2 linked regions of the Pelodiscus sinensis genome follow. The protein of the gene in region 1 interacts with the protein of each later gene in a pairwise test. Links are inferred from orthologs where the notes say so. Each region holds a gene or a part of one and is shown on either strand. Other genes may lie near its edges.

What was found.
Region 2: the proteins of LRRC7 (region 1) and NQO2 interact in a two-hybrid assay, tested with the Homo sapiens proteins (2 studies listed by BioGRID). The two-hybrid records come from large-scale screens. The link is inferred for Pelodiscus sinensis from reciprocal best matches to the Homo sapiens genes LRRC7 and NQO2.

Annotation. Positions count from the first base shown.
Region 1 is NC_134719.1:20,439,967-20,448,897, forward strand, and holds the start of LRRC7 (leucine-rich repeat-containing protein 7), read left to right. Parts: upstream 1-5,097; 5' UTR 5,098-6,059; intron 6,060-8,931.
Region 2 is NC_134712.1:115,499,279-115,508,250, reverse strand, and holds the start of NQO2 (ribosyldihydronicotinamide dehydrogenase [quinone]), read left to right. Parts: upstream 1-5,699; 5' UTR 5,700-5,854; intron 5,855-8,792; 5' UTR 8,793-8,947; coding exon 8,948-8,954; intron 8,955-8,972. UniProt on the Homo sapiens protein: The enzyme apparently serves as a quinone reductase in connection with conjugation reactions of hydroquinones involved in detoxification pathways as well as in biosynthetic processes such as the vitamin K-dependent gamma-carboxylation of glutamate residues in prothrombin synthesis.

The sequences.
Region 1 (8,931 bases):
TGACATGGGTGTAATTTTTTGAGACCTCTCCCCTCCCCATCTAACTGTTTGCTAGGACCAAACTCTTTTTTTCCACAGAATGTGGTTGGCATGAGGTGATTGGGCCACATTCTGGCTCTTATCACACAGGTGTGTGAGAGAAGAGACCAGAGGGATCTCTTTATTGTTATTATAATAATAATACCATGTGTGCTGGTCCAGGAGGTCTTCATAATTCAACTGCTTGATTGCCAGGAACACCAATAATGGGAAGGGGTTAATTCCACTGGAGGTTCTAATCACTCCAAAAGAGGCATTGTTGATACTCTGCACCTAATGAAAATGTCTGTTCCTGCTCCTTTGTGCACTTACACTCATAATCTCTGGAGAGAATCTGCCTTTGACTCTCTTCCAAAGAAAGAATGGCTCTGGGAACTGCTGCTGGTGTAATGTGACTGCCACAGTGGAATGATTAGTTGAATAGTCTTTCGATAGTCAATCCTGAAAGCTTTTCTACCCCTCTGCATCCCATACCCCTCATTCCTGGTCTCATAAGAACTTAAGAATTGTCATACTGGGTTAGACCAAAGGTCCATCTAGCCCAGAATCCTGTCTGCCGACAGTGGCCAATGCCAGATGCCCCAGAGGGAGTGAACACAACAGGTAATCATCATGTGAGCCCTCTCCTGTCATCCATTTCCAGACAAACAGAAGTTAGGGACACCATTCCTACCTATCCTGGCTCCCTTCTTGGTCCCCCTTCAACTGGGTTGCAAGAAAAAAAAGTTTGCAAGCCACTGCTCTGTGCAAACATGAATTCTCTCTGCTACCCCTGCCCATCGTGACATTTGTTTTGAAATGCTTCAATACCTTCTCAAATGCACAAATTGCACCTGGTATTCAATAGTTCCTGCTTCTCCCTCCCACCATTTTGTTTACAGATATTGCCTCTGCCTCAAATTATGTAAGACTCCCACAGGTGTGAGCTAGAAAGGGCCTTTCTATACACTGGAAAAGTGACTTAACAATAAATATCTCTGGGGGTATGTATACACTACAGAGTTTTGTTGGAAAAACGGCCATTTTTCTGACAAAACTTGAATTACGTCCACATTGCAATCACATTCTTTCAAAAGTAAATTGAAAGAACAGAGGGGCTTTTCTGACAGTGGTATTCCTCTTTTTATGAGGAAGAATGCCTTTTCTGAAAGAGCTCTTTCGGAAACAGGTGGGTGTGAACAGGGAGGACGGTTTTCTGTCGAAGAAGCCTCCAGGAAATAACACAGGTGCCCTGGTGGCTACTTTGTCCAAAGTAATCACAACTCTATAGTTCTTGTCTTCTGGCTACTCTTAAAGCTGCAGGCATCCTGGTCAAGCCTTGTGGTAGGAAGCTGGACTTGGAGCAGCACTCTGACCACGTGGATCTCCCTGCCACAGGCCTGCTCTCTGATGGCACAGCCACAAACCCCAGAGACTCCTCTAGCCCTCACAGGGAGCAACCCCAGGGGTCCCAGGACCCACCTGGGGGATCAAGAGGCGGGCATCCTCCTGGTCCGTAGCAGAGATTCTGTCCCTCCTTGATCTGTAGGCCGAGGAGGAGACATTGCAGGATCTCTGCTCCAAGCACTGCAATGCAAACATCTTTGAGCACATGACCAAGTCCCTGGCGGAGTGTGAACACTCACCCCGGAACTTAGAACAGGTCCAGAGTAAGGTCAAAGAACTCCATCAGGGACACATCGGGGCCAGAGAGCGCAGGTTGCACTCAGGGGCAGGATCCCACACCTGCCCCTACTATCAAGAGCTCCCACAGATCCTTAGGGGCCTCAAGACCGCTGTCATCACCCGGCTCAAAGGAGGAGGGGAAGGAGAAGGACCAGGGACAGTAGTAGAAGACGGACACTGTCACCCTGTCCCTGTTGCCTGTCAGCCAGGACATCTTCCAGGCCTCATCTGACGCTGGGGAGGGATCTTCAGGTGAGCGCTCTCAGTTTGTCACACAAACAGAGTGCACAGGGGGCCGTTCTTATGAGACCAGGAATGAGGAGTATGGGATGCAGAGGGGGCTCTGGGTTTGGGGGGAGGGGATCAGGGCTGGGACAGAGGGTTATCTGGACAGAGGCTTATCTCTAGTAGCTCCTGATCAATGGTGCAGTAGGGGGATAGACAGGCAACTCCTCTACATCAGGAATGCTCACCTGGGAGGTTCCATGAGAATCATTATCCCCATCCTTTTAAAGTTCTACATGAAACTATGGGGGAGGGGAAGGGTTTGAGACAGCATGGTTTCAAATGCCAGCAGTATGAAGACAATCTACTGCTATACATCTTTTTTCCTCCAACACAGATGGCATCATCTCCCAGATATTCTTCTACAGTGACAATGACAAGACAACCAGGTGGCTAAAACTGAATTCAGGCAAAAGAGATGATGGTAAGGGTGGAAAGAAGAATATGGTTTGAAAACATAAAATCTCACCCTCTCCTGAAGGTATCTGCCCTCAGATTATCAAATGACTCCTCATTGCTGCTGGACATTCAGATTAAAACAGCTGCAACAAACAAACACACACAAACAAACAAACAAACAAACAAAACCAAAACAATCACCTCTATGTGACTTGTCAAGAGACCACACATTTTATAAACATGGATTATGGGCAGTATGATCTACGCCTATTGTGACCCATTCTAGGTATGAATGCTTCACCTTTAAATGAGTTTGTTAGTCCTCAGCAATACCAACCACTGAGATGATATATTGTCCATTAATATAACATCTGTTTGATGTACAGGCTCAACAAAGAATAATTCTTCAGATTTGAAGTCTTGGCTGTAGTCTTCAAACTATCTGTGGAACTGTCCACGATACTGTAGAGAACAACCTTTTTCTGAACGACAGCAACGAATGTTTTTGAGATGCTCCTGCACACTTCCCCTGGCCAGACACCCTATCCTCAGCCCACTACTGCACCCACCCTCCTGACCACACATTGCACCTTGCCTTGGTCTGACCCCCTTCCCATGGCCAGACATCCTACTCCCAGTCTGCTCCTGCACCCTACCTCCCATTCAGACCTCGCACCCTCACACCCTCCTGCACCTCACCTCCCTCCCAGAACCTGCACCCTCATTCCACTAACTGGCAGCCCTGTCCAGCATATTGAACCCCCATTTTTGTACCAACCCCAGAGCCTGGGGGGTCCCCAAAATCCACTAACCCTGGAACGCCAGAAGAGTAAGTTTGGCCTATGGGAAGCCCTGAACCTCTGTTCTCCCTCTCCCACTCCCTCTCTTGGTGGGATTGGAGCACCAGGGGAGTAAGGTGTCTCAGTTGGGGGCCACATCAGTGAGAGTTGGGAGTTTTTGGAGGTGTTTTTTTGTTGTTGTTGCTTCTCACTTGTGTGGTCCCCAACTGATTTTTTCTGTGGGGGAGAGGCCCCTGACCCAAAAAAGGTTCTCACCCCTGCCATAAATAAAGAAAACAAGGGAACCGTTTTGTGTTGGACATAAATTATTTACTTTATTTAAAACGAAGTTTGATAAGCTAACAAAAGAAAGTTGAAGCATTTAGTCTGTTTAATAACTTAAATTAATATTTCCAGTCTTACTGGTTAAATTAAACCACTTTCCCTAGCTGCAGCACTAGCAATATGGCTCAGGCATAATTATGTAATTAACGTCTAGTTTCCAATAGTAGCTGGTGGTCTGCGGAAAGATTTGCATTGTGCCAGGTGGGCTGCAGGCCAAAAGGTTTTAGAACCACTGTGTTAGGGGAATGGGAGAGAGCTGTGTTGTGGGGGGATGGGTGGGCAGGGCTAATTGCAGTGCAGCATGACCAGAGGAATGGTGCACCCACCCACAAGAAGCAGCGCGATCCTGGCCATGCTGGCTAGATGCCCCACCTGCACTCATCTAGCACTGGCCCTGCCAAGCAGGTAGAGCAGCAGCAAGGGAGCAGGGAGCCATGCCAGCTGCGCTGCCCACCATGATTCCAGAAGGTAATTTCTATAAAACCTTTATTACTGTATAGATTGTTGTATATTATAATAAAATCATTTTAACAATCAGTGTTTCCACTCAAAGTTTTCATTAACCTCTCTGATGCATACTCCTTGCATGACTATTTTGAACTCCTTTATATTTAAAAAATCGAGGTCCACATTTACAAAAAAAGCACCCCACAAAGAAATTCCTGTGTACAGGCCTGCTGTCTGTTAGAGGTTCATAGAATCATAGAATAATAGGACTGGAAGGGACCTCAAGAGGTCATCGAGTCCTCAAGGCAGGACCAAGCTCCGTCTACACCATCCCTGACAGATGTCTATCTAACCTGTTCTTAAATATCTCCAGAGAGGGAGATTCCACCACCTCCCTTGGCAATTTATTCCAATATTTGACCACCCTGACAGGAGGATTTATAGCCTTTCTTGAGGGACTGGAGGGAGTGAGGCAGCAGCAAAGGTGTAGGGTTTAGAGGAATGTGGGGAGAAAGCAGTAAGGACCTCCATGGGGATACAAGGAGGGAGGAAGCTCTGAGAGGAGGATGACCAGGAGCTCCTTAGGGGGTGAAGGAAACAGCAGTGATGGAAGGTGGGAAGCTGGAGGACACAGTGAGAGGAAGAAGCAGCAGCTTGGTGAAGAGTAGGACCCATGAAGGGTGGTGGTGACCGAGAGTGAGAGGAAGCAAGCAGTGGCCATGTGAGGGGTGCACAGGTGGCACTGGCCAGTGGGGGACTAGGCAGGGAGGTGTGCGTGAGGAGGAGCTAGAGGGCGGGAAGCAGCCTATGTGGGGAAGGAGAGATGTGTCTGAGGGATGATGGGGGGAGCAGCGTATGTGGAGGGAGGAGAAGATAGTAGGAGGGGACCGACTGTGGAAGGATGCAACAGGTCCGGGGGAGGGCAGTGGCTGGAGTGCAGAATCCTGGCCGAGCTGGGGAGGGCGGGGTGCCCTGCCAGGATTTGGGGGGTTGGCCATATGGTAGAGATAGTCCTGATGCAGGCGGGTTTATAGCCTTTGGGGGTGCGGGGGGGGGGCCGTGCTTCTACCGGCGCAGCCTCGGGCGAAAGGCGCGCGAAGAGGCGGACGCAGCCTGCTCGTTAGAGCAGCGGCAGCCTCTCGAGCTCTGACGCGGATGGTGTGGGGGCGGGAGGGGCTGGCGGCGGCGGCGGCTGCTGAACGCCGGGGCTTCTCCCGTTGACTCAGCCCTGGCAGGAGGCGGCTGCCGCCCGTGCACCTCCTGCGCCGGAGAGCCGGCTCCGGGCACTGCTCCCTCGAGCCGGCCGGCGCCTGCTGCTTGGCTCGCTCCTGCCGGGTCCCGCAGCCCGCCCGGGGAAGCGCCGTTCGCGCGTTATCGCCTCTCGCTGCCTCTGCGCGGCCCCCGGCCTGCCCACCTCTGTCGGTGTCCAGCCGCGGCGGCCCCCGGCGGCGTTGTGGCAAGCGGGGGAGGGGACAGGTTGGCGGGAGCAGCCACATGCCTCTCCCCGCCCGCCCGCAATGACTGCACCTGTGCGTGAATGAAGCTGCTGCACTGAGGCGGGGCGGGAAAGACTCGCCGCGGCTCTGAGGGAATCGTCTTCTTGCGGGTCGCAGCCTCCCCCCGCCCCTTCTGCAAGCGGGAGCCGGAGCGGATCTCCCCGCACGCCCTTGTGGAGGCCCGCGTCCGCACCCCCCACTGACAGGTACCGTGGGGAGGGGGCGGCCCGGCCCCCCCCCTCCTCCGCGCTTCCCAGGGATTTATTGGATGAAGATTTTTATTCTTTATTTTATTTATTTTTGGGTCGCTGGCCGCTCTGTGGGGTGGGAGAGGAGAGAGACTCCAGCGGACACGCTGCCTGTGCCACAGCGCTTCCCTCGCGCGACTCTTCGCCTCGTGGAGACACATCCAGCTGTTCATCTGAAGGGCACGTACATCATGGTCTAGCGGGGGATCTCCCGCCACAAAGCGCCCCCTCCCCTTTTCTCTTTCTCCTTCCCCCCGCCCCCTCCTAACGGTGGACCCCGATACCTTAGGAATAACCATCCCCGCGGGTTGTCTCGGGGCAGCGGAGACCGATGGACTGTTACTCCGCTCTGCAATGTGAGTATGAGCCTGCCTTGGAGGAAGGGGCAGCCGCCGTGCTCCCCTTGTAGCGGCGTGTGGGTTGGGGGGTGGAGGGGCGGGAGCGTGGATGTACCAGGGAAGCGCCAGCAGCAGCGCGCTACGCTCCAGACTCTTGCATGGGCAGCGGGGAACCTGGAGGGAGCAGCTCCCTTCGCTGCTCGCTGGATGTGCTGCCGGCAGCGGGGATGGAGGGATGGAAGGGAAGCGGTTTCCTTTGGGGGCCATGGTACCAGATGAAATTGTGTCAGGAAAGGAGCGATTCTATGACTGCAAAGAATGGCTGTGAAGACCTCATCTGTGCAGCCCCTGTACCGCTTTACTCCCCTCCGCCCCAAAACACATGTGCAGGGAACCGGGAGAGAATTGAAGGGACGGTCCTGCTCCCGAGCGGGGTTGCTCTTGTGGGCTCAGATGTGGAAAGAAAATGCTGGGCAGTCTCTTGAAGGGGAGGAGGGCGGGGGCGGAGAGGGGCGTCAATGGAATCTCTTCCCTACCCGCAGTCACCGCTGACACTTGTGGAGAGGGAAATTTGCTGCTGCTCTCCAAGCCTCTTTTCTTCAGAACCTGCTTGATCGTGACTGTGGGAGACGAGATTTATTGAGCACATTCTTGTTTGAAGAAGGAAAGGGAATTTTTATATTTTTCAGGGCATAAAAGGTCCATTTTCAGTGATTCTAAATTCCATCAGTGATTTCGCCCACCAAAGCTCATGATACTTATATATATAATTTGTTAATCTCTAGGTGCCACAGAACTGCTGGTTGTTTCTAAATTTCATGTATCCCAACTGCCTATGTGTTCCATGGGCAAAAGCTGATGAGCTCCATGTAAAATTTCACTGCTGCTTCCTTCTGTTTCCATGCCTAGTTAGAGGACAGGGCATTTATTTTAGTACTATGCCAGAAGAATAGAGTGGGAGGAGAAAAAGCAAAAATGACAGCACAATCAGGTGGGTTTTTTTAAATAAGGAAATTGCCTTACATTGGTGATCACATATGTGATGTCAGGAACCTCAAGGAGTCTGAAGTCCTATTTCAAAGAGAGCCCTTTTTGTAGTTGCAGTGGTGTGAAAATGTGTGTGGGGGGTTAATATAAAATTGTTTAATATATATTGACATTTCAATATTTTGACTTGGTCACAATGAAATAAATCTTTATCACCCACCAGTGTCTTTCCTCATTCCACCAATTAAATCATTTTCTGAAACCAGAGCAACATGATTCTTGATTCGGGTACCTCTTCTTTAGGAACATCAGTAAAGAGATTGACTTCTTGATTCCTTCTGAATCAGAATTCTAACCTAATGCTCACAACAGTATGCTTGTGGTTGTGCAAAATTTAGGTAAAGATACTGGGGGGAGGAGGCTGACCTAGGGCTAATTTACATCACTATAACTTCATTAGGGCAAATATGTCCCTGTGTAACTCTGTTAGTTACATTGGGGAAATGCACTTGGCTCAGTGAATACTGTAACATCAGGGAAGAATTTGGCCCATGAGTTAGTCCTAAGGTACACCTGGCTAAATAAGATCAGAATAAATCCCTGAGGGGCTTGTAAGCTCTCTGTAGGCCTTTACCACAGACTGTAATAATTGGTTCAGTATTCCCAGTGTTCCTACTAAGGAATTAAGGGTAAAGGGCTATTAAAGCCAACTTTCTGGACACAGTTAGATGCATTATTGAGTGTATTATAATGAAAGCAAACCATTTGGTACCTGAATCAGGGAAGACACTGGGAATTATTTTGTTGGATCAAGCCTATGAATATACAGTGTAGATATCTTTTTTCTTACTCAGTGTGCATTTTAAAAGGGTAAAGAAATGTATATTTGTGGCAAAGGTGTGTTTTCATTGTCATCACCTCTTGACCTTATGAAATAAGATATTATGCTCAGCAATCCCCCTGTAAAGGTGTGTGCCCTTTCCAATTTTCACATCTTATCTCTTGCTGAATCTCTAATGATTGTGATGAAATCATTTTGAAATACTAATATTACTGTCTTTCGAGAAAGATAGGCTTTATTTATTTCCTATATGGCTTGACTTTCCTCATCTCTATTCTAAAGCAATAGTGTCTTTAAACAGTAACCAGTCTGAGGAAGCTTGATGTGTTCAGGATATTAGCTGATTGGTTTCTTATAATTCCAAGAGGTTGAAAATAAGTATGTACCAAAACTTATTACTATTAAAATCTGTAGCAAAACACCACTGATTTCTCTGGGAGCAGGATAACCCTAATGTTGGTTCAATGGGCCTAGCTCTCTAATACTGGCATAACTCCACTGGCTTCAATGAGGCAGAGGGAAGATTCCTATTTTACCCTGGGGTAAATGAAAGCAGAATCAGACTTTTGTTATATTTTAAGGAGTAGTCAGATTGAGTTGGTTATTTTTCTCTGAGGTCAGGCTACTGAAAGGTATTGACAACAGTGAAGGTATTGTTTCATTTCCTGAGGTGAGGGAGATAGGTAGCATTTTTATCTTGGCATTTTTAACATGCCTGTTCCCATAGCAAAATGCTTAGTTCTCTTATCCTATGACTTTCAAGCTAAAAAGCATTACTCAGTTTTATTCCTATTTTTTAATCTGAACTGTTCTGAATAGTTTTAATGTGGATAAAATTGTAATCTGAATTATAAATTGCATTTAATGTCAGTGTTACATGATCGGACAAGGAAAGTAACTTGCAAAGGCTAGCTATGTGAGTATTGGCTTTATGCATGGATTAATCTGGAATTCAACAAGAGATGTATACTTACCATGGTAACCACTACATCAAATGTTTAAATATATACTGCTTCAGAAATAGCAGTACCTTCTTAAAGAAATACAAACACTAGCATATCT
Region 2 (8,972 bases), on another chromosome or scaffold:
GGATGTTTCTGCTTTAAAAAAGTGAAATGGTGAAATGCTTAATGCTGCCATTTAACTCTTCTCAGTTAATAGTTCAGAGAGCTGAATGGGGACAGTTAAAATAATCTCTAAGGTCCCAGTCGTGCAAATATTTATGCATACACTTAATTTTATACCTGTGACTACTTTCAAGGCATTCAATGGGAATACCCTCATCTGGACAGTTAAATGCACACATGTATTTGCAGGATTGGGGCTTTACAGCTCTTGTTTTGATCTCTCTGCTTGCAGTCTTGAGAAGCAAGCACTGCAAAGAATGAAAAATTAGTAAATAGTTAGCTGTCTCACCTTGCCTCCCTTCTGATGGTTAATTATGAAATGCTTGTAATGTTTTTATAAAGATCAAGTAATAGAAATGTTTATTCTTGGGTATGATTAACATAATTCTAACTGTGCTACATGCACTAGGGGCAAATGTAAAGACAAAGGCCGAGATCTTCAAAGGCATTTAGGGCATGCTCCCCCCAGTGTACCAACATCTAATCTGCATGAGTACGTTTATACTACAAAACAATATGTAAACTAAAAATCTGAAGCAGCGAGTCTCACCATGCGGGTGTGTAGATTCGGGCTTGTGCTATAGAGCTAAAAATAGCAGTGTAGATGTTTCCGCTCAGGCAGAAGCTTGAGCTCTGAAACCCAGCAAGGGAGATACGAGGGGAAATCTCTGAGACTAAGCTCTGACCTAAGCCAGAACATCTGCACTACTATTTTCCTCCCACCATAGAGCAAGCCAGACTCACTGAGAATCACTGCTGCTGGGTTTTTTATTGTTATTTCTTTGCATTGTAGACATACCCTACTGGCCTGACACCTAGTGGCATTGTTTGCAGTAGCTTTGTTAGTTCCAGGATATGAGAGACAAAAGCTGGGTGAGGTTCCATCTTTTACTTCCGTTGGTGAAGATGAGCGCCGTGTGGCTCGAAAGCTTGTTTCACTCCCCAACAGAGGCTGGTCTAATAAAAGACATGACCTCCCTCCACTTTGTCTCCCTAATGCTAGTGGAATCCTCAGCCCCAAGTTAGCTACCCAGGCAGGGGCAGATGACCGTTTTGCGGGGCCCCGGGCAGCATAATTCCGTGGGGCCCCCCCTTTGCCACAGCGCATGCGCGGGGCTTTCTGAAGCGCGGGGCCCGGGGCGGCCGTCCCGTTCGCCCTGCCCTATATCCGCCCCTGTACCCAGGCCTCCCAGAGGTTCGTAGATTGTGACCATATGGTCTGGTCTGCTGTGTAATACAGTCCAGAAAACTGCCCCAAGAGAATTCCTAGAGCTGATCTTAAATTTTAAAATTGTCAGTAAAGGAGAATTCAGCATGAGGTTGGTAAATTGGTCCAACTCTCACTGGTAAATATTTACATCTTAGCTCCAGTTGGAATTTGTCTAGATTCATCATCCAGCCATTGGTTCATGTTATAGCTTTCGCTGCTAGACCGAAGAGCTGATGACGACGACAACAATGCTAGAATGAACAGGGATCCTCAGAAATCAGCAAGCTGCATGGGGAGCAGCCAAAGTTAGCCAGGAGTGTAATGCCAAGCAGGAGGGAAGGGAGAGGAGAGGCACCTACACAGGTGACCTAATGGGCCTGGCTGTTGGAGCAGAGATAGACATGCACCTCTCATCACTCAGGAGCAGTTAAGCCACTGAAGTAGGCCTAGGAATAGCAACTGAAACCCCCTCTGTCTCCTGCTCATGCCCAACACCTCTCTCACACTTGCCCTGCGTTTCCCTGTGCCCCCAGCTGTCTTTGTATGGTGAGGTTCAGCTTCCTACCATTGTGGGGTAGGACAGGTGTCAGGTCTGAGACGTGCACAGGGCACATTTACTGAACTGGGTCATGCTGGTGAGATAAGCTTTCCCGTCTAGCTTGGGAAACCCATTTCAGGGCTGCGGACTCCAAGCTGCCTGTTGGGTGTAGGGTGGCTTAGCAAATGCTGACTAACAGAAGCTTACATGCCTAGAGGACTTACACACCCAAGGGGTTAGGCAGCAGCTGAATGATATCTTTAAAACTATCATGGCACCTATCAGGAGGACTTATAAGCCTAAAACGTCAGCTAGATGCTGAGGGTCTGGGCCAGCCCCTGTATCAAATACCTTACCATTTAAGGCAGAGGTGGCCAGATGCAGCTCCCAGCTTGCCTGAATCTGGCCCCCAAGGCTCACTTGCCCCCCCCCCAGCACTGGGGAGCCCACACTAGTGCTCCAGCCCCCCAGCTGTTCCCCAGCTGGCTGTAGCACACAATCTACTAGCCTGGGCCCCACCCAGGCCCCTCACTTGTGTGCAGCCCCTGACTCCCTGACTGATTTAAGGGCTAGATCCGCTCACTGGTTCTGCCCAGGTGCACCTGCATGTTACGTCACGGAAGTCAGAGGGGTTATATAAGTGGCCAGAGGAGTCAGCCTGTGCAGAGTCAGTTACAGGATCAAGGCACAAAGCATAGATGAAGGGCAGAAGGGAAGCAGCCCCAGGCAGAATGATAAAGCAGCATTCTCCATGAATGCCCTGACAGAGCCATAGCATGCGTTTAGAACATTTTTTGCTAGGGGCAAATAGGAAATTTTTTTAACCCATCCCTATTATTCAGGGCAAGGAATGAAGGGAGGGAAACGAAGGAGACATGATCTTTTTGAAATATTATTATGTATGGAAAGAGGAAAGATGCATTTCTAATATATTATTGCTCCCCTCCCCTGGTACAGGATATACCATACTGGCAGCTTTCCTTTAGTTTCCCTACCTTTACATCAGCCAGAGCAAGGGTCAGCAACCTATGGCTCTCAAGTCAAATATGGCTCATTAGGGAGCCAGATATGGCTCCTTGCAGCTCGAGCTCAACCCCCCCTTCAACAGGGAGCCTGTGCTGGCACTCCAGCCTTGCGACCCCCCTGAAAAATTGGAGCACCAGGACTGGCTTCCTGTGGGAGGTGGGGGGGAAGCCCTGTGCCTCCCTGTCAGATCCAGATTGCAGGGAAGAAGCAGAGCTAGAAGCGGCTCCACATGCTGCTGCTTCCTTTTCCTTCCCCGAGCTGGGGGACAGCAGCGCATGGATGTGCTTCCTGGAGAATCCTGCCAATGGGAGTAGCAGAAGGCCATGCCTGGGAAATGGTGCTGGCAGCGGTGCAAAAGCAAGTAAGTGCCCCTCTCTTCTCCCAAATCAGACCCTGCACCCTCTGCCCCCTCACTCACCACCCTGCTGAGACCCTGCACCCCCAGCCCACTCACACACACCCTCCACTAAGACCTCATATCCCCAGCCCACTCCTGCACCCTCCCTTGCTCCTGGACCTCCCTCCTGGCCAGACACCTTGCCCCGCAGTATGCTCCTTCACCTCCCTGCCCTTGGCCACACACCCTACCACCAGCCTGTTCCTCCATACTCCCCTGCTCCTGCACCCTCCCTCATGGCCAGACACTCTGCCCCCCAGCCTGCTCCTGCACTCTCCCTTGCTCCTGCCTCCTTCTCCTGGCTATGCACCCTACTCCCAGCTTGCTCCTGCACTCTACCTCACACCCTCTCCCCGCTTCTTGCACCCCTTCCTTATCCCACTCACCGACAGCCCTGTCTTGCACACTGAACCCCTCATTTTTGTCCGCATCCAGGACCTAGGGGGGCCCACAAAATCCTCTAACCCTGGAACCCCAGCAGAGTTAATCTGGCCTGAAGAGGCCTTGAACCTCAGTTCTCCCTGCCCTCACTCAACGATGGGGATGGAGCACCAGGGAGTGAGGTGTTTCAGTTGGGGGACACATCAGTGAGGTTTGGGGGGTTTTGGAGGGTTTTTTTTGCTTCTCACTTGTGTGGTCCCTGACTGATTTTTCTGTAGGTCAGTGAACCCTGACACAAAAAAGTTTCCCCACCCCTGCCATAAATAAAGACAATGTTGAAACCTTTAGCGTTGGACATAATATTTTACTTTATTTAAAATAAATTCTGGCCAACAATGCCAGACCCCATCCGGCCATAGCGTCCTGTCCCTAGCCCCAAACCTGGAGCAGGCCCCGCGGTCCAGCCCCCATCTGGCTGCAGGAAGTGCTGGTGGCGGTTCTCCTTCTGCTGTGACATGGGTAGGAGGGGAGGCCACGATCCTGCGGTGGCCTTCCTGGCCCAGCCCCTTGTCCAGCCACTGCTGCCTGGGTGCAGCAGCCTAGCCCCAGCCAGCTAAAGTAATCCGGCCCAAGACCCTTCCACTTACTTTATTTCCCACCCACAGTGCCCCGTCCTGCCTCTGGCACTTCCCACACGCCCCAATGCCTTGCTCTGAGACCCTCATACAACCCAACCTGGACTTCTGAACCCCCACATCCACCGCCACAGACTCCTGCAACCTGCAGACTCCTGCACCTGGACTCCTGCATACCCAGCAGCAGCGGAAGTCCCATAAAATGAAGTCTGAGTAAAATGTTTACTTTATGCTATTAATCATCATGTCAGTCATCAATAATATTAAGTTGTATATTTTAAGTCATGTAAATGGGTATTCTTGTACGGCTCTTTGTTGACCACTTGTTCTGAATGTTGATGTAGTTTGGCTCTTTGGTTTGAAAAGGCTGCTGACCTCTGATCTAGAGTGTATACACACCACAAAGAAAAAAATATACTTTTCAGCTTGCTAGTTTGCATAAGCTAAAAACAAAATAGATACGATTTTTAAGGACTTTAAGCCAGATCCATTATTTTATTCAGTGTGCCTCAAAGGAACTCCAATTGCCTTCAGTACACTAATATAAATAACACTTATGTAGTGCCTTTCATCAACAGATCTCAAAATCACTTTACAAAGGGAGGTATCATTATCACCATTTTACAGATGAGGAAACTGAGGTGAGAAGTGACTTGTCAAAGTTAACCCAGCATACCAGTGACAGCATTGTGAATAGAATCCAAGTCTTTAGCGTACCAGTCGAGGGCATTATCCAGTAGGCCACACAACCTCCCGTTATGTCAATAAGCAAGGACCTTAGCATCCAGCCTCTTACTTAATATTTCAGCAGTGACACGTAGCAAGAAAAAGTTAAGTACATTCCAGGGTAAATGACCCAGATTCAATGGTTAGAGACATATCAGTAAATAATATTTGTGGGGTTTTTTGTGTGTGTTTATCTATGTATTGTTAGAGGTTAACGATGTAATCACACAGTCCCAGTCTATGCTGTATTCTGTTAATTCAGAGATCAAAAGGAGAATTTAACATTTAAATCACGGGTGAGCAACCTTTTTTGGGTTGAGGACCACTAACCCACATTCGTCTGTGAAGCTGGGAACATGGATTGATCTACCCCTAATGAAGAGTTGTGTGTCGGGAGCCGGTATGTTAGGGAGCCTTCCAGGGGGTCTGGGATCAGAGGGCAATATGGAAATTCACATCCTTGCCTTTAAAGTTGTGTCACAGCTGCTGAAGATCATGCATCCCTTGGAGGAGGCTGCCTGCAGAGTGAATCAGCAGAGCTCCAAGAGCCTTGAGTGTGGGCCCAGTAACCAGGGGGTGGGGAGAGCCTCTGGTGACCTGCCAGGGGGCAGAGAGACAGGAGCTAGACAGAATCAGCAGAATCAATAGGGAGCCAATCATGTGGGTCCCTGCTGGCACTCGTGGAGGTGGGGAGTGTGTGCCTAACACCCTCCTATTGGTCTAATTCTGCAGCTGTAACACTGAAAGGAGGGAGAGGGAGAGGGAGAGGGCTCCCAACAGGGGGGAGTTTCATTTGCAGGCAGGACTGGCTGCATGCCTCTCTCTCTCTCACAGTCCTTTCCAAAGAGCTGCAGCTTCACTTTCATCCAGGAACAAGCTTCTTTCCTTGTGACCCAGATACAGGTAAGAAAGGCCCAGTCTGCAAACACTGGGGGCATCTCTATGCTGCAGCTGACGTGTTAGGCCGACTTTGCAGCCATTGTAGTAATTATTGTGGTAGCTGGTCTCTACAACACCCTTCTTCTGTCAGTGGTGTGCCCTTACCAGGAGGGCTTCCACCTGAAGAGCAGCAGTGGTGGGGCAGGGTAGCTGGAAGCCAGGGCCTCTTGCCTCTAGGAGTGGGGAGCTGGGCATGGGGAGCCTGAGCAGCAGCCTGGCTGGGATCGGGTATCCTGGGGGCAGCAGAGCTTCCAGCAGGGAGCACAAGCAGTAGCCCAGCTGGGATCAGGCAGCTGGAATGGAGTGCTGCTGGCCTGTAGCAGGAGCCCACTACCGGCCCAGGCATGGAGCGTGGGTGGTGCATGACCTCCATATTTGGGGAGGTGGGCCCTGAGTGCTAGAAGCTCCCTAGAAGGGGAGGCACCCATGCTCAGAGCATGGTCCTGCCCCCTGCTCCACTGCCAACCCCCACTCTGCCCCAAGCCCTGGTGGGCCACATCCCCCAAGGTCCCCACACAACCTGTCCATCATGCCTCTCTCCACCTGCACCTCTAAGAGGCCTCCCCACCTGCCACCCACTCCTCTCTCCCTCTCGGGGTGAAGAGGCATGAGTAGTGGGTGGAGGGGCTGTGAGGGAGGAGCAAAGATGGGGGAACTACAGGGGAAGTGCTGGAGAGGTGTGAGGAGTGGAGAGGGGAGATGTCTGTGAGGGAAGAGTGAGGATGGGGCCTTGGAAGAGGGGAGAGACAGACAGGGAGCAAGAAGAGGAGCAGCGTGGGCAGAGCCATGGGAGAAGAGTGCGACGCAGGAGCGAGGCCTAGGGCAGAGTGTGGGCAGCACACTAGAGGCAGCAGGCCTGTGGCATGCTTCCAAAGGGAGGTGTGCCACATCTTGTTTGGGGTGGCTTAGCCTCCCCTGGCTTATTCTACCCACCATCCATGCATGGAGCCATGAAATTGACAAGAGTGACACTCAACTGCTGATGAAGTAATGCAGTGTCTACATGGACACTGTGTTCCCTAACTTTACTGACATAAGCCCCTGCCTCTCCTGGAGGTGGCAATATTATGTGGGGGTAGATGGTCACTTACAACAGCTGGAGCAAGGCTGTAGTGTAGACACTGACATAATTATGTCAACATAAACTGCCTAGCTAATTCTGTAGTGTAGACCAAGCCTGAGATGCATGCAGCTTTCATGTGATGTGCTACACACTGTACAGACAGCTTGGGGCTGTGTCTTCACAGCAAAATGTTGTGATATTGAAACTGAGAGTCTCTAAGGCTGGCCTGGGGTCTCCAGGAATTTAATATTGATCTTTAATTAAAGATGGTCATGTGCTGAAACCTCCGGGAATGAGTCTAAGTAAAACTGGCAAACTCGATTGTCACTTGTACCTTCATGTAAAAAAACACAACACATTTTTTTGCAGCGAAGATGAAGAATCTTTATAACAGTGCAGTAGGTTGGGTTGGAAATGGTGCTGGTGGGTTTGAACTTTACACACAAAAGGAGCCAGGCAGCAGGTGACATGCAAACGTTGCACAACAGAAGTGTCCAGGGTGCCAAGAGGATGGTTGGAAAAACTTAGGAAAGTCTCTGCAGATCTATAAAACAGATGTACTGGGCTTACACTAAGTGACAACCTTGCACACACACACATGCTTGCCCTATTGTGGTATTTTAACTGGGAAGAAAAACAGGGTGAGCAGAAGTCAGAACCCCATCTGCTTTCATGGAGATCAGTTTAAAATGTTTTATTACAGGCTATGACAATACAAGTAACATATACAAATTAGGACTTTCTGGGCCAGTCTGTGATTCTTACTCATAATGAAAAGTATCTTACTCTGTAAGTAGTCCCATGGATTTGAGTGAAGCTATTCACAGGATAAGGCTTCTTTTCACAATATATAGCATCCATTTAGTCTATAATTTTAATTACAGGAAAACACAAAGGGGCATTTGGTAACACTTTTAACACATCTTGATGAGCAGTTATAGCTACATGTATCTGCGTGAGAATGTTCACCAGGGTGAGGAAGTGGTTATACTCTGACCCCACAAGTCAGTGATTTGGTTGCAAAGTGCCTTCAGGCTGGATTCTAGTGTTTTAAAGGCGGATGTTTGAAACTGAAATGCAGGTTTCAATATGTACCTGTGATTAAACAATTCAATGAGTACTTAATATAAATATACTATATGCTCAGGCATGGAGAGTTTGAGAGAAATTATGTTGAAATGTTGTTAGAAGCTATTAGAAGAATTAGCGCCTTCCAAAGTAGTAAAATTCATTGTTGTGTAGACACTCATGAAAGCAGCTATAAATCTAGCTTAACCAGACAGTTAAAGTGGGTTTATAGCAGTGTTTCTCAACCCTTAGGGGTACTTGAGAGAAGTCTGGGGGGTACGTCACCACAACTGAAATTTGGAGAACTGAATTTTTGGTTTAAGTTTCAGTGTCTTATTATTTTTGTACTTTTTACATCCAAAACATGCATTGCCCACCTGGCTACAATTAAGTTGTTTAAACAAATGTGTTGCAATGGTAGAGAAAATATTTGTCTGAAAACTATGTACTGGGTGTACTTACCATTTTTTTAAAGAGGTATTTTATTTAAAAAAAGGTTGAGAAACACTGGTTTATAGATGTTTTGCTGGAGCATTGTAAGTAGCCAGAGCATACCAATCCTTCTGCCCCAATATGTATCTATATGTGAATATGATGTATATAACTTACCTGTCACTTCACCACCAGTGACTAAAGCAGCCATCCAAAAATTACATTGATAAAATCTTCACACTCTACACCATCATATAGCTCCTTGTACTTACAGTACAATCTATACATCCACACTTGTTTCTTAATTATTCTTTTGCATCCTGCATCCTTTTGTTTCAGATTCAGAGAGTACTTTCAGCAAGGTGGTGCCGATAGGAAAAGCCTGCCTTTTTCGCGGTTATGGCGTGTCTCCAATGAGCACATCTCTTTTGGGAGTCTGCTACAGGAAATATTGGATGTTCTAAAGAGGAAGACTGTTAAAGGCTTTGTGTAAAATGGCAGGTAAAAAGAGATCATTTT